Linked DNA regions of Arabidopsis thaliana. The protein of the gene in region 1 purifies or fractionates together with the protein of each later gene. This does not show direct contact. Each region holds a gene or a part of one and is shown on either strand. Other genes may lie near its edges. The genes, in order: AT1G53070 and PPa2.

Region 1 (12,743 bases):
TTTGTTGACGCCTGCCGTGGCGAAAAACTCTCCATCACGATCAAACCCAATTGCGCAAACAAGGTTAGACGAGTTCAACAAGTCTCCTTGCTTCAAATCTGCTTTCACTCTTAGCTTACTAAAAGACAAATACTTGCACAAACCCTCGAGGAATGGATCGATCCACCCGCCTTGTCTAGAATCATTGATAGGATCTTTTGATGGTTGGCTCATTGAACTCTTTTCTGAACTTCTACCGTTACAACTCAATGCCGAATAATATCTAGCCAACGGTTTTTCAGCAGCAGTAGCAGCCTTGATTTGTCTGTATCGTGTTGCAAAGTAGACTGATTCCAGTTTCTTCAAATTTCTCATTAATCTAGAGCTTTCAAGAAGTGTACTTTCTAGAGTATCATCAAGCTTAGATTCCTCATCAATGCTATTATCATCATTTTCTTCCTCTGCTGCAGTGGTCTCAGCTCCTTGTCTAATCCGTTTTCTTGAGGCTAAGAACGAACGGACATCTCTCCCTTTTTGCTGTAAAACCAACTGTCGCTTTACGACTTGATCGATATCAGAAGAGAGAAGCGATATTGTATCCTGCAATTTGTCTGCAGCTTCTTGTTTCCTCTGTTGAATCAGAAACAAGAACTCGAGTAATAACTCTTGTTCCTCGATTCTATCCCGTAGCTCCATTGCAGCTTCACGTTCTTCCAAATTCTCTCTAGGTTCGTTGATAAACTCACTTTGTAGCAACTCACTGCAAAAGTAAAGACAAAGGAGACAATACTCTTAATTAAAGGACAAAACTTTTCCAATTGAAACTAAAAACATCAAAGAGAGAATCAATCATCACCTCATCGATGGTCGACAGCTAGGCTCAGGATGCAGTAACCACAAGCAAAAGGAAGCTTCTTTAGGCCAATTGAGTAATATCTGAGGGGGAAGAACACGATGTCTTAAACTAGACATAGTTCTTGACTTCTCTTCTCTTGAGGAGACAGGGCAGAATAGCTGCACAAAGACTAACATTCATCAAATCAGTTTTCTCAAGAAAACAAAGCAGTTAAGAACAAAAATCAAATCTTCTTACGCACAAACCTCAAAGAGAAGAACACCAAGACGGTAAATATCAGAAGCACAATTACACAGAGAACCATTATCTTCTTCATGACTTGTATACCAACTCATCTCCATTGCTAATATCTGTTTCATAGGGAAAGGTTGCTTCTTTACTTCCTCTTGTTGTTTGCTTCGTCTCTCTGATAGAATCTCCTCTTGTCTCGAGCTACCAATCTCTCGAGACTTTGTTGTTGCATCCTCATCAGACCCGGAATCCGAACAAGAAGCGGATTCGATAAACGAAACATTGTTAAACGAAGACATAACGAAACAAGAAGGCCTAACATTATGAACAACAATGCCTTGAGAGTGAGCTGCATTAACAATCTCAACAATCTGTCTGAAAACATGAAAACACTCAAAGGCATCAACGGATCGGTCTGGATTGTCTAACCACTGACGCAAGCTAACATCCTCACATTCCAAAGCTCTGACAATAGAGTCATCATCAAGTCCTCCCAAGTTAGCTTCTTTATGTGAACCAAGTAAGCTTCTGACATAATCAATGTGAGACAAAGACTTAGAACCATCTGTACAAAACTCTGAAACACCAGAGGTGTTGTTTAATCCTCTGGAACTAGATTCTGAAGAACCCTTCATTGATTACCAAACAAACTCCTCTGGATTCTGCAATACTTCATTTCATGATCCCAGCCCAAAAGCCCTAAGTTAGAATCGAAATAAAGTAAAGAAATTTAGAACGAAAGTTAAGATTTTTAAAAGACCCTTTGACAGAAAACACCAAAACCAGAAAATATATTCGAATAAAAATGCAACCTTTGATTACATAAAGAGACAAACACGAGGAAGCTTCTTGACCACTAAACTCTCTCTATATATAAAAGAAAAGCGAAGAAGAAGATAAGAAGAAGAAGAAGTACTTGAGAGACTAAGAGGCACCGAAGAAACGATCCTTTTTTGAGAACCACACATCGCAAAAACTGAGTTCGTAGAAAAGCAATAATCAGATTCATAAAAATTAAATTCTCGGCTAAGAGAAATCTATTTTGGGCCTACGATTTTTACTTCACAGTGAGGGTTTTATTTTTCGCTTTTTGATAATCTTCACTTCTCTTCTCTTTCCACGCAAGCAACGTGGTTAAACGACGACCTAGGAATCAAAAGAACGTAAAGCTAAAACCTTTTTCGTATTTTGGTTTTGGGCCATATATGTAAATATAAGTAAACCATGAGGTCAAAGTGAATTTTGTTCTTTTTTGAAGTGACCAATTTTCTTCAAGAGGAATGTTTAAATTATGTTGTGGTCCAAATAATATAACACATTTTTGTAAGGCTATAATAGGAATTTAAAATGACCAAAATAATTTTTGAATAACATATTTGAAGCCTTATTACAAGAGAAAGTACCTAAAGAAATGATTGTACTTTGAAAATCTTGAATGAGAAAAACAAAATTGTTTGTATTATTGGTTTTGGTGAAAGGAAAGAGAATGTATTGGTGGGAGCATTTAATAACCAGAGGGGAGTTTCCATTTCCATGGAATGGATTGAGACAAGTCGACAACGTAAGTGGTAAATTACAAAATCACATGCGTCCGGACACGCCACGTGTTTTTTCTTTTTCTATGATTAGATTACATACACAAATTTATCAATGAAAAAAAAAAAAAAACTCTGTTTTTTTATTGAAACCAAACCATCTGAAATGTAATGCAAGATTTTTGTAGAAAATGATACGACCTAGAAACTGTGATAGCTTTAACCTTATATATCGTGGATTTGTCAATATTTTAGTTTTAAATTTTAGTAATATCTTTTAAAAACTTATGTTAAGAAACTTGTGACATGAACAAACTGATTCAATTTGATGAGGACGATGACCACAATACCACGTGGTTGTGCTTTGGCTTTTAACGAGTCTTTATTTATACAAAATCAATGATGCATGTCCAAGAAGATCATTGACGGTGATGGTCCGGGACAGTGTGCATGTTTTCTTCTCAGGATTTTTTTTAATGGTTTAATCGATCAAAGTAATTTTAAATTTGATTTTGACATTTTATACGTACTCTCTTTTTAACCACTTTTGAATAAAAATCAAGAGAAAATACATAATTGTTAAACCGGTAACAAACATAAATCAAACCAAACAAGACCAAAATCAGAACTAATTGTTTTTGGCGGTGTTCTCAAAACTCCAGCTCCAAATGTCGTGACGCTCGACGCCACGACCCATCGAACCGGAAAAGCCGGTATACATAGTCTCAAGAACCACCTCCGAGAGATCAACTTGTGTTTCGATCAATGGCCTCTTCGGTTTCTTTAAATGCGCAGGTGCAAGCCAAACAATGACTTTACTGTTCTTATACTCAATCCAAGCTTTGTAGTTGTCTCCGCTACTAAGCTTCACTTCCTTAAACAACCATTGATTCTTCCCTCTAGTTCTTGTCTGAATCCAATACCCAGCTTTCTCAGAAACCTTTGAGTTAACAGAGTTAATATTAACACCAACATGATTATCATTAATATCACCAAAACGTTTGTCTTGGAAAACATCGAATTCGACCGCAAAGAGATGGTTATTAGGATTGCCATTGGTTGTGAGGTTAACTAGACCGAGGAAGCCGCGGGTTGAGTCTTGGTCGTACTCGTAGGCTACGGTTGGGACCACGATGAAGGCGATACCATGACCAGGGTTAGGGTTTGACCGTCGAGGAGTGATGGAGAAAGTGAAAGATGTTTTGAAAGAGTAAACAGAAGAAGATGTGTTGTTGGAAGATTTGAATGGGATTGGATCTGTGTAGAGACCTTGACCATGTGAGAATGGAATGTTGTCACGGGTCATGGAGAGAGCTCCGGACCGGCTCATGCCATCGGTTGCTGGTCCTAGCTCGGCGTACCCGATGAAGATTAGATTTGTTCCGTCGAAACGGTTGAAGTTGAATTTGACGGCGGAAATGGTTTTAGAGCTTAACAAAGATATGAACAGAACAAAAATACAGAGTTTGTGGATCTGCATTATGCGTTTGTTGTTTACGTGTGTATGTTTTTGTTTTTGGTGTTATGGAAGTGGAAGTAGTGCTGTAATATATAGTGTGACGAAAGCCAGTGAACTTCAACTATGACTTTTCAAACATATATAGAGGTCAAATATGATAGCGCCAACTGGGCACACGAAAAAGACTATTTTTTAGTGATAAACCATTGATTTCTGAATTCAAGATGGATGGAAAAAAAAAACTAAAGAACAAAACAATTATTATGAATCGAAAGGATTGTTAACTCTCTCTCACGACTTTACACATTAGCACATAGAGTTTGCCACATAAACTTCATAAAATAAGTAATAAATAATTAGTAATAAATAATTAGTAATAATTTAACATAACAACTAAAATAAGAGGATATAATTAATCAGAACTTGAACCATCACAGTTTTTATATTTTTTTTAATTCAATATATCCTCTTTAATTTTGAGATCTACTTGAGTGGTTAAAGTGATCATAAAATCCAAACATGTTACACATATTCCTTGCCTAAAAATTAGACGATTATTATGAAAGAAACTAAATGAATATGCAGATTAAATATATCTAAGCTTTTCGAGAATTATGCTAAGAAACAAGTATTTTGAAAGATGTTTGAGGAGCTATCCTTATAACTAATATGTAAGATATAAGATTATGACAAGAACTTAACTAAACTTTCCAAGAACATCAAGTTAAATATGATTAGATTTAATATGCAAAGACATGGTTAATAAAGACATGTTATATTTTTAGTATAAGAAACAAATTTTCTAAAATTTCACCGTCCCACAATCTAAACATATAACAAAAAAAACAAGGATATATAAATTTTAAAAAAACTGAGAATCTAGAACAACAATAAAAAAAAACAACTCAAGCATATTCGTTTTTCATATGAACTAATATAGTTGGACTTTTCAAAAACAATTACAAATCATATTTATGTTTCAAAACCGATGCATTCAACTTTACTTTATGTTATATGAACAAACATTATATAAAACAATTTGTAAATAGTAATACATAAACCCGCACGTAGTGCGGGTACTCATCTAGTTTATCATTAAAGTCGAATAAACACAATAACTCATAAGAAAATTTATCTAATCCTTACTACTAATTATATTTCCACTAGAGCCGGTCTTGATATTTAAGGAGTCCAAACGCAAGAAAAGATTGTTCTGGTATTTTTTGGACTAGTTATCAAAGAAATGACAAAACATTTTAAAAAATTAGAGTTCATGAAGGCTTTGTTATATTGCAAAGGGTCCATTTTTAGATTATTGTTTTGTTGATGAGGCCGAAAACTTTGGAGGTCCTAGATCAATGATTCCTTTCGCTTGTCGCATGGTCACCTTTGCCTAGCACGATCCTCCACCAAAAACACGTCAAATTCTATTCTAGCAGATTGATGATTGTAGTCAAATCACATCGTCGTAGGTAAAATTATGAGATGCTGTCTGTCCAAGCCTCGACAACGAGGACACACTCTTCAATTGGATAAAGCAAAAACACTAAAAAAATATCTCACTGAAAGAGGGAGAATACGAAATAGATATGAGAAAGAGCGTATATACAACCACGATATATAATCTCAAAGAGCATTCATCTCTATCACACTTTTACAACATAATCTGAAAGAAACGAGACAACTTTCCGACAATTCATCAAGTCCTCCTTTCCTTCGTTCCTAGATCTCTCATTTTCCAAGTCGCATCATGGAGTGTTATAATCCACTTGGCATGTAACATTTCCTCTTTAAAAGTCTTCCACAAAACAACATAGTTGGTAGTAGACTCTTTTTTTCCGGTAAACATGTTAAGATGTTTTAGACTATTTTGATAGTCCCATAACTACGATCTCCACATTTCTCCTATAAATCTGATTCTCATCTAGTCATGTTGGCCAATTTTGATAGAATGTAAAATCATTTTTTCTTTTTTTGTCAACGAGAAATGTAATTTAAAAGTGACTAACATAAAAGATTAGGAACGAAACGTCCTTGATTTCTACTAATCTGACAACAATAATACATCAAATTGTCGGTAAGACATAAAATGAGCAATTATTTCACTTCAATTATCACAAGCTGAAGGCACACCAGGGTAAACCAGAAACATAAACCAAAAGAAAACCGATGATCTCGAACCAAACCAAACCTGTTTTCTTAATTCTGGAAAGTCCAGTCCCAAATCTCGTGACGCTCGACACCACGACCCATCGAACCAGCAAAACCGGTATACATTACCTCGTGTATGACCTTGGAAAGATCGAATTTTGCTTCAATCAATGGCCGGTTCGGTTTCTTCAAATGCGCTAAACCAATCGTAACAGAGACTACTTTATAATTGTTGTTGTACTCAATCCAAGCCTTGTATCTATCTCCACTACTTAGCTTCAAATCCTTAAATAACCAACCGCTTCTTGTCATAACCCAATAACCGGATTTCACAGAAACCACCGAATCAACCGAATTAATATCGATTCCGACATGGTTATCGTTCATGTCGCCAAGAGATTTGTCTTGAAAGACATCGAACTCAACGGCAAAGAGGTGGTTATTAGGATTACCGTTATTGGTTCGGTTCAGAAGACTGAGATAGCCTAAACCGGAACCGGCGTCGTTTTGGTTACTTGGGACGACGATGAAAGCAAGGCCATGACCTTGATTAGGGTTTGTTTTAGGAGTAATGGAGAAAGTGAAAGAGGTTTTAAAAGGGTAAAGAGCTGAAGCATTAGGCTTGAAAGTGATTGGAGTGGTGAAAATGGCTCGACCATGAGAGAAAGGAATGTTGTCTCGAGTCAATGCGATGGCTCCGGACCGGCTCTTGCCATCAGTGTCAGGACCATACTCAGCGTCTCCATGGAATGATATTGGATCGGTGCCGTTACCAAAGTAATCGAATTTGAATTTGTAAGCAGTGGTGACTTGAGAGGTGAAGATAGCTAAGAACAGAGTGGTGAAACAGAGTATTTGGATCTTCATTTTTTAGTTCTGTTTTTGGGAATTTGGGAAGTGAAAGTGGTGAACTTTAAAAGATGTGAGTGTTGAAAAGATCGAGAAGACTTAAAATAATTGAGAGAGAAGAGAGACAAAGAATTTGAATTATGGCATTAGATGACAAAAGCTGTTCTCGAAAGTGCACAAAATGGTTCTACTTTTTCTGTGCCCACAATGCTGAAAACAAAAACGTTATGAGTGTATAGGAGGAAATTAAAACTAGTATTGATTGAATAAACTTATATATGTATATAAGTTAGTCTGTCCTAATATATAGGTTAGGAAAGATATAAGTTAGTCCACATTCATGATCAAATCTATCATATTTCATTAAGTTATACCAAAACCAAATTTTTCTTAATTAACAATATACTATGTGTCCTTTATATATTAAAAGTTTTTAGTGCTTATGTGACAATCCCACATTTTTTCTCTCAGCTTTTTTACTATTTAATTATTTTGTTATAACTATCAATTTGTCAAACACATTTTTCTTTATCCTCATTCTCTTTAAACCATTTAGTCATTTACCAAACACATTTAAATTTTTTTCAAATATATAGAGTTACCAAATCATGTATTTTTAACTTCTCTTATTATCACCAAATTAACAATTTCCATTATGTGTATATATGTATATTAAATGGTTAGATTTTTCTTTAATGTCATTCAATTTGATTATGACCTAAAAATTAACAAAGTTTGATACTAAAGAAACATTTGTTTACTTTTAAATCACTCCATTTAACTTTTAAATCATCACCATTTAGTTCTAAAGTTTTTAAACCAAAATAGAATGTCTTAGTAAATAATATAAAATAAAAAAATAAAAAAAAAATATATTAAAAAAATCAACCTAACTTATAAATATACTTTATTGATAAAATATGTATATATATTATTGGATTGTTTTTGTTTAAACCATGCAATGAAGTAATCATTGGATTGTTTTTGTTGTTGCAAACTTGCAATGAGGTTACAAAAAGGGAAAGAAGACGAGACGACTCGTCCAGAAAAAGGTCGGAGAAATTTTGAGATGAGAGCCAAATCAGGCGAAATAGGGCTTACCCGACTTGATGATAAAGAAGTATCATGATATGGTTGGATGTCATACGTATGTGTTCAAATTTCCTTACTGGTACATTTTTTTTGTGTGTGGAGAGTAGTCTATTTTCATGGTGTGATTAAGTTTGTATACCGAGTTTCACTCAATGAAACGTATTGTGTGAGAATATGTTTCAAATGACGAATATTTGTAGTTAATTCTTGACATAGATCGTTGCAGGAAAGGATCTATGTTGAAGCCTACATAGGCACATGCCTTACTGGTTTTTCAGCAATTTACCGTCTCATAGAAGATTACGATATCTAATAGTTCTTACTATGGAAATGGATCCTTTATTGTAAATCTTTCTAGAAATCTGAAAGTAGATACATGGCACGTTAGGCCATAACATAAGCATTTATTAGCCTTCAACTATCACTAGCCTTAGCATCACGAGATTCACGACAGAAAACGAAGCTGCAAAACCAGTAACAACTTTGACATAAACAAAGCTGAAGCAAACCGGTTTATTAGTCTTTGGCACTGTTCTCAAAACTCCAGTCCAAGATCTCGTGACGCTCGACGCCACGTCCCATTGAACCGGCAAAACCGACATACATTTTCTCGAGAAAAACCTTAGAAAGATCGACTCGTGCTTCGATCAATGGCCTCTTCGGTTTTTCTTGTGAACGTCCGATCGTGACTGTCACTTTCCCGTTCTCGTACTCAATCCAAGCCCTGTATCCGTTTCCACTTAGCTTCAATTCCTTGAACAACCACCGGTTTTTTCCTTCGATTTTTGATTGATACCAATAACCGGCCTTCTTAGATACCGTTGAATTAACCGAATTATTGTTGATTCCGATATGGTTATCGTTAATGTCGCCAAGAGACTTGTCTTTAAAAACATCAAACTCAACCGCAAAGAGATGGTTCTTGGGATTACCGTTGCTAAACCGGTTCACAAGACTGAGATAGCCTAAACCAGAAGCGGAGTCGTTTCTATCGTTGGGGACGATGATAAAGGCGAGGCCATGACCGGGATTAGGATTTTTCGGGCGAGGACTAATGACGAAATAGAAAGAAGTTTTGAAAGAGTAGACAGAGGAAGAAGTAGAACTAGGCTTAAAAGGGACTGGATTGATGAAAATGGCTCGACCATGAGAGAATGGGACATTGTCACGGCTCAATCCAATTGCTCCTGACTTGCTCATACCATCAGGCTCTGAAGCGTACTCGGCGTCTCCATGGAATGTCATCAGATCAGTTCCATTTCCGAAGTAAATGAAGTCGAAACTGTAAGCAGAACACGTTATGGCGTGAGAGCAAAACAGAGCAAAAAACAGAGGAATGAAACAGAGTGTTTTGATCTGCAATTCTGTTTATTTTTTTCTTGGATATGGAAAGTATAAGAGGATAACAAGATTTATATAGTGAAAGAGAGCCAACAAAGTTTGACTCGACAAGATCATTTATTTTTCACAAGTAAAGATCTCGTAACACCTTTCTTGGTAAATTTCATAAAAAGTCACAAATTAAAAAGTTCAACTTTTGGAACATTTTCTAAATTATGATATATAACTCTGTTTCTACAGCTTTCTTATAATAAAATAATATCACATTACAGGGAAGCTAAAACGTGAAAAGATTTGATTCTATGATGATATATAATCTTTGAATCAATAAAATACAATTATTTTTCACTCAAAATACGCCGTGTTAAAAGGTTTCAGGCAAATGAGGTTCGGTTTGATCATTTACTTTTGCCTCACTGATGGATCAACGGCTAGAAACAGATGAGGGATGATTGGTTGCGACTTGTTGGCTCGAAGCTTCGTCAGCTTGAAGTTTCTTGACTCGAGCCTTATCGATTCGTGCTCTTCTCACAGCTTCTTGGATATGTCGGTCATGGTCTTTCAACACTTGATCCATGTTTCCTGATGGAACCACTAACGGTCCTGAGTAATGAATCTTGTGCCCTTTTGATCCATAACCCAACTGCAAACCAAACCATACAACTCAGAATATTAACATTGCTAGTCTTCTAAAATTAGCAAAGGAGGGACGTTTAGGGAACTTACGAGAATAGGGTCTTTCTTGTTGCTTCGACCATTCTCTTCCTGGTTTGCTTCTTCAGACGTTTCCTTGAATGAACCTGGAAGCCGAGTCATTCCTCTGCAAGTCTCTTGTTGTGGTGCGCCTGTTCTTGTTGCGGCAAAACCAGGCATTGCTGAGTAATCAGCTATGGATGAAACCTTTTGAGAATCTTGGTAATTCCGTCTACCCTTTGCGGAAGCAGATCTACGTGATAGAGGACCAGAATGTGAAGCTCTCTTGTGAGGAATTATATTGCCCTGAGATTCTCTGTTTGGTTCAAATGCTTGTGATGACGGCCTTGGTGGATCGATTGGGAAACCGGATGCAACTTCTTCAGGATGTGGATTAAACTTCTCGCTTCGACTTCTATTAGTAGACTGGCTCTGCCTTTTCTGCAATGACATAAATGCGAGAGGGTCAAAAACGTTGAATAAAAGCAAAAAGCTTTAACATCGAAAGAAATAGATTTTTTAAGATTTTTTAACCTGCATTGATGCAACCAGCTCTGCATTTGCGTCAGGGGCTGGGATGGCTCGAGATTCCTTAGTTCCTCTTCTTTCTTGGTGTCTTTGGTCCCTGTTTCCTCCAACTTGTCTACAAAAACAGGAACTAGATTAAAGCATTTCTATAAATATTTCTTTTTGCGTTAATGATACTATGCTATCGTAAGAGCATTGCAGGATAAAAGTCACATCAGACTAGAAAATCTGGATGGCATACCTTCTACTTTCCTCATCCCGCATTCTTGCATCGAGCTCTTTGCTGGGAGGATATTTAGGCAAGCTTGAAGGATCACATGGAAGAGGTCTGGTGGAGAAGAACTGAAAATAAAAGAATGATAATTTGATGTTACAAAAGCGATTACCAGGAAATACAGACGCATAAGAACACACAGCTTTTACTGCCTGAGTAATGCCAGTACCTCACTCTTGAGAGCTGCAGTGGCAGTTCCACGATCGTCAGGATTGACTGAAAGGAGAGTTTCAAGAAGGGCTAAAGCTGGCTGAGGAAACTCCTTGAATGTTTCACCCACTAAGCGTTTATATGGTTGAGTAGGCTTGAAAATTGTTGCATGAGGCAACCTTGATTTTACCCAATAGTCCTCGGTAGGCGAGCCACATAGCTTGAAAATCTTGTGCAACTGTTCCACCTGTAACACCATAAGCATTACCAGAGTCACCTTACGAAACCAAACTAGTCTAACATAAATCAGAGCAAACACTAAAAGAGAAAACAAAAACTGTAAATCTACCTCGGTTCTACCAGGCATAATAGGCTTGCCTGCATATAGTTCAGCAAGAATGCAACCTGCACTCCACAAATCAACTGCTGCTCCATAGCGAGTTGCTCCGAGCAAAAGCTCAGGTGGACGGTACCAAAGAGTTACCACACGACTGGTCAAAGGCTGAGTTTGACGAGGATCAAAGAAACTAGCTAATCCAAAGTCAGCAATCTTTAAAACTCCACTATTATCTATTAGCAGGTTTGAGCCTTTTATATCCCGATGGAGTACACCACGACTGTGACAATGGTCTAGTCCATGTAATAGTTGCTGCAGGTAGCACTTAACCTGTATGAAAAGAAAGCCCAGCCTCAGAAAATTGTACTGAAAGTGGTGCCTAGGTCATGAAGATGTTGAATAGAAACAAAAAAAAGTTACCTGTGATTCAGAAAATTTTATCGCGGGATGCGAGGCTAGCCCAGCTAAATCGTGTTCCATGTACTCGAAAACAAGATATAAGCTGCAAGACATTCTTGACGTAACTAAGCCTTCTAGCTTTATGATATTAGGATGATCAAGCCGGCGTAATATCTGGATTTCTCTAGCCATAAAACGCACACTTTCTGGCTCCAAGTTATCAAACCTAACTTTCTTCAAAGCCACAATTTTCTTCTGATCCAGGTCGCGAGCCCTATATACATTACTATAAGTGCCCTGACCAATCTGCATAAAACAATTAAAACCGCTGCATCAGGGATCATTCTTCACAGCTATAAGTTCAAAACCTTTTCAGGTCATGTTATATAGTTTTAAAAACCATCAACTGAAAAACAAAATCCACTTTCAATAACATAAAAGCATCATTTACTGCAACCCATATCTTTGGAGCTTAGGATATGTTTCTAAATACGGAAACATGCCACTATATGTCATGCAATCAAAAGAGTCTATTTAACAGTATTTTCAAAATGAATGTATATATACAAAGAAAAGAAGATTACTTTGTCCAACTTCTCAAAAGAATCCGCACGCCGAGGAACCCATCCCCTGATAGCTTCTCCAGCTACAGAAGCCAGCCATGGAGGCCAACCTGCAGCTACATACTCTCCTTCAGTTGCTTTAGCTATGGTAATACTCATTGCAAGAGGTGAAGTAGCAGCAACATTCTCAATCCTCTTCTCTCTTCTACTCAAATTCTCTCCACGCAAATGCAACGAAACATTGGATTGCTTATTACTCAACACTGGTCTTACACTAACAACATCAGACCGTTCCTTAATCCTAAG
Region 2 (7,811 bases), on another chromosome or scaffold:
GTTCTCGGATGCGGAGCTCAACGGAATGAGATGGAACAACTTTGTCCCCGGAGCTGTAAAGATAGAGCTGAGGACATGGAGGATGGTTCTCATATAGTTTTTGAATGATTTTTGTTAGCCTCCTGCGATACAAACAATAACTCAGATTAATCAACCTAATATACAAAGAAGAAGCAGATGGGTTGTCTACTGTGTGGTGTGAAGCTTACGTATTGACGTCTGGGTGGTTTAAGAAGATGGGGAAGAGTTTCTCCAGAGATGATAGCATTATGTTTTCGATTCCTAAAGGTTCCTTCTTTTGTGGTGTTGAAGCATCCTCTTCTTTTATGGGACTGTTTGGTTCTGTGGTTATGGTGGAGCTACGCTTCTTCAGTATAGCCGCGGTAAACCCCGCTGCCCAAATCTGCAAAAGAACAGAATTCAATTGTTGATCTATAAAATCTGCACAGGTGTACGCATTGCTAATCTTATGCAAGATGAATGATTATGATGGCTTATTAGGACTACGCAATGATTAAGCAATTTTCAACAAAAGGGGCTTCAGAACAAACTCAGGCACATACTATGAAGCTCATTTTATCTTGTTCACATGCCTAAGACATCATATCTTGCAAGAGAACAAGATCACATTCACAAGATATATAGGCCGATGTACTATAAACCTGTGAGTGATGGCTACGTAACCAAAAGAAATCAGCGGTTTTAACTCATAGCTATATAGTCTTTTCTAAGTACTGAGTTATCTATCTACAAAGCTAATTGCTTAGATATCAAAATCAAAAGTCCCCTAGCCATGGTTCTGCAAATGCTTGTAATCGATACAAAGTTCTTCAACATAGAACTCAAACTAGCAAAGCTTTCACACTAGCATAAAATGAATCATTATTGAAAAAGAGGACAACATAGCTCAAATAGAATTTTTCACTTCACAACAATATTGACATTTCCACTTCCAATACAAGATCTTGAAGCAGTGGAGAAACCATTGAATAGCATTTAAAACTCTTGGTTACATGAAAGAGAGAACAAACCTTAGTATCAAGAGGATCTGCTCCTCCCGAGTCAATGATACAACCCTTAATCCTTTCTACTAAATCTTGTCTACCAATGAAGCTCTCTAGCAAGGCACCATATCTACCAAAAGTAAAAAAGCCCACCATGCTTAAAATTCATCATCTAATTCAAATCAACACTAAATCACAATCGCAATCACAATGTAGGATTTTGAAGGATTTTGGTTTCATCAACCTACACAAGCCAACCAGTGTTACTGAAACTGTGAAACACCAAGCATTTCTCTCTACCATCATCTTCTTTCTCCGATACCCAATTAACCAATTCATTCCCAAATTCAGCTATCCTTCGTTCAAGCCGCCGACCAAGATCTAACCGGAGCAAATCCCTAACGTCAACAGTGAAAGTAACGGCGTTAATTCCCCTGGAGTTGTACCACTCAACGTATCTCCTTAGATGTTTAGCTTTCGCTCCTAGCCAACCAAGGAGAACCACCGTCGTCTCTTTCCCCTCGTTCCCGCCGAATATCGCCGCGTTTCCACCTCCGTTCACGATCCGTGGAGCTCTGTTCCAGACGGCGACGCCGTCGTTAGGTTCGGATCGGAATGGATTAGCGTGAACGGCGGTGTTCTCGAGACGAAACGTTGACGTTAGGAAGAAGAGTGATCTGAAGAGATTCGCATTCGCAGGGAGCGAAGAGCACCGTATACGAGCGGCGGAGATAGAGGATTTTCGGGTAACGGCATTGTGTAGTAGCTGATTTGTGGAATTGATATTACGGGGATCTGATTTTAGATTGAGCTTACTGAGAAGAAGAAGACGATTGAGAGCAGAAGAAGTACTCAAGATTCTTGTAGTTGCTTCCATGGCGGATTTTGGATGATTCGCAGAAACCAAAAAGCTCTTCTCGTCAAATCGCTGATAAGTGATGAATAAATATCTGAAAAGAAAATAAAAATAGAATATTTATAGGAAATTAAACAGTCTTGCTGAATTAGCGGGTTTCCCTTATGCCTTGGAGCTGATTCAATCTCTCTTTTCAGACTTTGAAATGTTCCATTTTGGTTTACACCATCTTTTTCTCGGATCAAAGAGTACAACATATCTGAATTGGACAACAGTCTGCGGTTTTACGCACTGCACTTCCTCGGAAACTGTCTTATAGAGTCTCTCCAGTAATCTCTCATTGCTATATCCTTCACTATATTTTGTTGTTGTTGCAAATGTAATTGTGCATAAACCCTATGAATATTTGCCAAACCGATATCTAAACCAATAGAAGTCAAGAGACATAAATGCTTGAGAAGTATACTAACCTAGGAAGTCAAGTAAGTACACTCGAGTCCACACAGTTCTCCGAGTATGATGACCAATCTGTATCTGTTTCTGCAAAGAGATTTGGACCAGTGCTTGGTATTGGAGGCTGTCAACACAGCTTTGTGTGATTAGTTGTGTCCAGAGTAGTATCCAAGTCCTGGAACTGTAAAGAATACTTTTTCCTACTTGTGATTCCCAAATTCATTTAAACGTATAATTGTAAAATACACTGTTACACATTACAATGCAAAAACCGGAAAATGCAGGAGATTACTCAAAACTCAGAGAGATTTCTTAGTTCTGTTAAGCTTCAAGAACTTTGTTTTCCTATTCCACCAGCATGGCTATAGTATATTTTACTTTGATATCCTTAGTTTGTATCCTTTCTTGCTTCGCCTATCACCACGTCGAGATCAGTACCTGATCTACTGTTCGCATCTAATCTTGTTTTTCATTTCCCTGAGATGAATTGCTGCTGCTGGGCCTATCATCTCCACCATCACCCTTCTGTCAAAAACATCAGCACAATCTATGTTCAGCACTCTTAACTTTCTAAAGCAGAGATTCAAGACTATCCAAAAGAAATCGAATACAAATCACCCCGTTGCACGATTTACCTTGAGTCTTAAAAAGGTCAGGACACTGTTTACAAGAAACTTGAGCAGCTTCACAGGCTTTCTTACATCGAAAGGAAAGTATCTATACTTGAACATGTGCACGATTAAGCGTTTCATAGTTAAAGAATACAAAACCAACCAGTAACACAACAAGATCGGCCAGAACACAGGCACATCCAGGAAAGAGAAGAATGTCATCACAAATGCAACAACAAATGCTTTAGTCGCTGCATACCTGAAAATCAAAATTGACAAACTTTCATGAGAATTCAAACCCTAAAGCAGACCATTAGACCTAAATCAGTTCTCATACGAATTCACTATCATAACAATCATCAATCAAATTGTCTCAAAAGAAGAAATCTACCAGAACTTTAACAATGAATGGTAAAAACACAAACTTTTCGACAAACCTAAATCAAAATCATCCATCATCAAAAGTAAAAGAGAAATTTTACCAGAACTTGAACTCAGGAAGACGACGAACAAAGGGCTTATACTCATCAGACTCATCAACAGGTAAAGAATCAGGATCCAAAGCTTCAAGTTCAGGATCAACTTTAGGGGAAAGGAAACCAATCAAGAGATTTAAGATATAAGTAGCTAAGCCATAAGAGATAACGAAGTATCCATAAACAGAGTAAACCCTATAGATATAGATCACTGCAGCGACTAAAGTCACAAGCCATCTTCGAACAATGTTAGGAGCAGATCTGTCTAAGTAATTCTGAAACGATTTCGAGAATTCGATTCTCCATTTTGCAAGTGGTGAAGCAACTATGGTGTCTGCTTCATTTTCGCTTCCTGGTTCGTCTTCCATGGAAATTGAACACAAAATCTGCTTTTTCTTCACCTCAAAAACTGGGTCTGGTTATAAATTCTAATCACAATCACTGAACTTCGAATCAACTTCAAAAATCGATTCAAAACAATCTACTCGATTTAGGATGATTTTGAACCAATTAAATTGAAAGTTTCTCAGTTTCGTCTGAATTTTTCTTAGTCGTATTAAAGTCTTGGTTTTTCTGGAAAGAAGAGGAAGAAACTGAATGACGTGGGGAGAAGGAACATGACACGTGTCGCAAAGTAAGATACTTTTGTTAAACATGTTGGGCTTCATAAAATATTTGTTTAAGCCCAGTAGGGAAAATATGTTGAACTTTTTTTGGTTTTTACATGGAACGATTCGATATTCTGTGAGGCCCAACCAGAAAGAATCCAAAACCGAATCTTTTTTGTTTCTCTGGGACCTTAAACCGAATTTTAACGTTTTGCGTATGATTCTCTAGACTTGTAATTCTAGTTGACAGTCACCAAAAAAACACTGCTCGATGGTCACATCCATACGACACAGTTTTTTTGGTTGTGGTTAACCCCACAGCTCAATAATGATCATTTTTTCCCATTTGACATATTAGATACTTATGAAAAAAGAAAAATATCAAAAGTGGTAATTTGTTATTCAACTTGTTTTTGTGACAGAATAATGAAAACAAAAAAGAAAATAATAAATACACAGAATAATGAGTGACTGATTTTGAGTGAAAACAAAAAAGAAAGAAAGAAGAATGAGTGATATAAATTCATTTCTTTATCCTAAGAAAATAATAAATTTGTTTGCCAAAAACAGACAAAATAAAATAAGGAATTCACTGAAAGAAATTGCCTAATTTTCAGGACACGCGTCATATAACAATTTGTTAGTCGGATACTTTTTTGGTACATCACTGTCGTCTCTTTTTCTTTTCGTTCAATTAAAAGGTACACTAACTATTTTTTTAAGAAAGATATTAAAATCTTGAAAAACCATGGCCGTCAGATCCATTAACCTTTCAAATTCAACGGACACGATTCATCGTACGATTGACGATGAACAATAACCGAGGAAAAAGTGACGTCAGCGTCTTCTTCCTCCTCCAACGTCCCATAAAGAAGCGCCACACACACAGTCACACGAAAACTCTACTGTAACTGCAAAATCTTGTTGTTTTCTTAAACGAAGAGAGAAGAAAGAAAGAAAAAAACGTTACGGATTCTCTGCTTCGGTTTCGCGATTGAAGCTTGAGATTTCATCTGTAAGATCATCTTCTTCTTCTTCTCTCGTTTCTTTTTTTCCTTCGAAATCCGTCGATTAGGTCATTTTTAGTTTATCTTCTCCTGTTAATGGTACTTGTTTTGATCACTTCTTGTTGAATCGAAGCGATTTCGTTTGATTTTGCTATTTTCTTGTTGGTTTCGTTTCGTTTTGAGCGCCGAGTACTTGGATTGGTCTTCACAGATGATCGATTCGTCGATTATCTTTCATTTGTTTGGATTAGTTCTGTTTTTCGATTCTATTTCAGTTTCCAATTGATGTAGCTTAGACTAGTTGGTGATTTGAGTGTTTTGATGTGTATTTACATGAAATCGATGATGGATCTATGTTCTTCGCATATCTCTGATACTTTAGCCTTTCGCGTTGTTAGATATTTGCCTAAGATGATATTGAGTTGCATTAGAACAGTGAACCATCGTAGAAATGTGTGCTTCATTTCTCTGCTCGGATTTGAACAGTCATTTTTTATGGTTTATAAGATTGGATTCTGCTGGAATGTTGAAGGATTTGTCTGGTGGTTATTGTATGAAATGGTTAAGTAGTGAGAATAATTTATATGGCCTGTTTTGAGTTTGGTATATGATTGAATGAGACTCTCCTTTTGTTTGCATATTATAGTGAACATCCGATATGGCTGAAATCAAGGATGAAGGAAGCGCCAAGGGCTATGCTTTCCCTCTCAGGAACCCTAATGTTACGCTGAATGAGAGAAACTTTGCAGCCTTCACTCACAGATCAGCTGCTGCTCATCCTTGGCATGACTTGGAGATTGGTAAGAATCCTTGTCTTTGTTACTTTGAATAGTCATGTGAGTCAAGTGTTGATTGTTTGATGTAAGTGTTTTGTTTGTTGAATCTTTCAGGTCCAGAAGCTCCTACTGTTTTCAACTGTGTAAGTTTTATCTTCTTCTACATTGCGGAAGATTAGATCATATTAAGAAAGTTAGTGCTGGTCTTGTGATTGTTAAATGTGCTTGAATTCTTTGTCAGGTTGTTGAAATTAGCAAAGGTGGAAAGGTTAAGTACGAGCTAGACAAGAACAGTGGCCTTATTAAGGTACAGTGTTCTTTGGCAGTCTCTGCTTGCATCATATATGCTTTGATTGAGTATAACCTGTCTTCTGATCCCTCAATATATAGTCTGATTATGCGGTTATATGAGGAATTCTTTGTTGCTAGATATATCATAAGTCACATTTTATGCATTCCAACTAAATATCCTTCACCGTAAGAGTCGAAATGAAGAAAAACTCTGATCACTGAAAGTTTTCCTCTCTAGGTTGATCGCGTTCTCTACTCATCCATTGTGTACCCCCACAACTACGGTTTCATCCCTCGAACTATCTGTGAAGACAGTGATCCAATGGATGTCCTGGTACTGATGCAGGTGCTTTCTCTCGCCTCATCTTAGCTTTCATGTTCATACAAACTTGATGTAAACAGGCAGTGAAATAACAGACTTGAGATAAAATACTGTGCAGGAGCCTGTGCTAACCGGATCATTCCTCCGTGCCCGTGCTATTGGTCTAATGCCCATGATTGATCAGGTAACAAAAACTCTTAAACCCAATTCTACCTCTATGTAATGTATTACCTTAGTAAGAAACCAGGAATCACCTTGTTCTGAAACTTGCAGGGTGAGAAAGACGACAAGATCATTGCAGTATGTGCTGATGATCCCGAGTTCCGTCACTACAGAGACATCAAAGAGCTTCCCCCTCACCGTCTAGCTGAAATCCGTCGCTTCTTTGAGGACTGTATCCTACAGAGACATGTTGCATTTAACGTATAATTTTGTTTTCGCTTATGATTTGTTTTCAGTTTTCACTTAACAAACAATGTTTTTAGACAAGAAGAACGAGAACAAGAAAGTCGACGTTGAAGCTTTCCTTCCCGCTCAAGCTGCCATAGACGCTATCAAGGACTCCATGTAAGTTTGTTTTATCCCAAACACCAAATTATTTACACGTTGTTTTGTTAATAATGAGCAATGTACTGTTTTGAAACGCAGGGATCTTTACGCAGCTTACATCAAAGCTGGCCTGCAACGCTAATGAAGAAACCAGTCCTTTTCCGTTCCTCCCGGTTTGCTTAGACATCACTGAAGCCGCCTTCTATACTACATGCATGTTAGATAAAATTTCAATTGGTGCATTTAATTTCGTAATGCTCATCAGAAAACATTGTTGAACTTAAAGCTTTCTGATGATGATGAAAAATTTCCAGTACAATCATAAAATTTGAAATATTAGCTTTTCTTTTCCCCAAAATTTTGTTTAATGTTGTTTCGCAAACATCCGAAAAGTACTCTCATACAAATCGAAGAAGATACAAAAAAAACTTAAGAAGCTACTCGGGCCTTCTTCTTCTTGGTCTTTTTGTAAGCCTTATGCCAGGTCTTATAAGTGCCCTTAGTCTTCTTAGATGTCTTGGTCTCAGGATCTGCAATTTCGTCTACTGCATCATCTTCATCTTTGTCTCCTCCTATATCAAACAGATCCTCTTCCTCTTCATCAGAACTCAACACAAAATCCTCCACAACGTCATCTTCTCCTAAGCCTTGCTCATCCTGCTTCTTCTCTGTTTTACTCTTTCCACCTCTCTTCCTTTTCTTCTTTTTCGTTTTCTCTTCTTCCGGCTCTTTTTCTCTGTTAATTACACATTTGTTGTTTTAGGTTATATCACAACGGTCAGATAAAATATCTACGTTATAGGCGTAGGAGACAACCCGGTTCCCATCCTATCTATATTCTTAAGTTGATAAAGCCAC

The links.
Region 2: the proteins of AT1G53070 (region 1) and PPa2 fractionate together in Arabidopsis thaliana (co-fractionation; one large-scale study listed by BioGRID). This does not show direct contact.

What each region holds. Positions count from the first base shown.
Region 1 is NC_003070.9:19,772,706-19,785,448, reverse strand, and holds AT1G53070 (Legume lectin family protein), read right to left. Parts: upstream 7,317-12,743; 5' UTR 7,079-7,316; coding exon 6,260-7,078; 3' UTR 6,002-6,259; downstream 1-6,001. Other genes in the region: SPA4 (SPA1-related 4), read right to left, coding at 1-739, 836-993, 1,081-1,701; AT1G53080 (Legume lectin family protein), read right to left, coding at 3,230-4,081; AT1G53060 (Legume lectin family protein), read right to left, coding at 8,669-9,397; AT1G53050 (Protein kinase superfamily protein), read right to left, coding at 9,918-10,136, 10,220-10,627, 10,721-10,829, 10,956-11,056, 11,158-11,385, 11,488-11,805, 11,896-12,180, 12,459-12,743.
Region 2 is NC_003071.7:7,931,423-7,939,233, reverse strand, and holds PPa2 (pyrophosphorylase 2), read left to right. Parts: upstream 1-4,880; 5' UTR 4,881-5,023; intron 5,024-5,661; 5' UTR 5,662-5,673; coding exon 5,674-5,815; intron 5,816-5,905; coding exon 5,906-5,934; intron 5,935-6,032; coding exon 6,033-6,098; intron 6,099-6,320; coding exon 6,321-6,428; intron 6,429-6,522; coding exon 6,523-6,588; intron 6,589-6,677; coding exon 6,678-6,798; intron 6,799-6,889; coding exon 6,890-6,971; intron 6,972-7,052; coding exon 7,053-7,095; 3' UTR 7,096-7,311; downstream 7,312-7,811. Other genes in the region: AT2G18245 (alpha/beta-Hydrolases superfamily protein), read right to left, coding at 1-122, 210-403, 1,032-1,134, 1,253-1,881; AT2G18240 (Rer1 family protein), read right to left, coding at 2,770-2,838, 2,949-3,183, 3,407-3,768; AT2G18220 (Noc2p family), read right to left, coding at 7,383-7,689.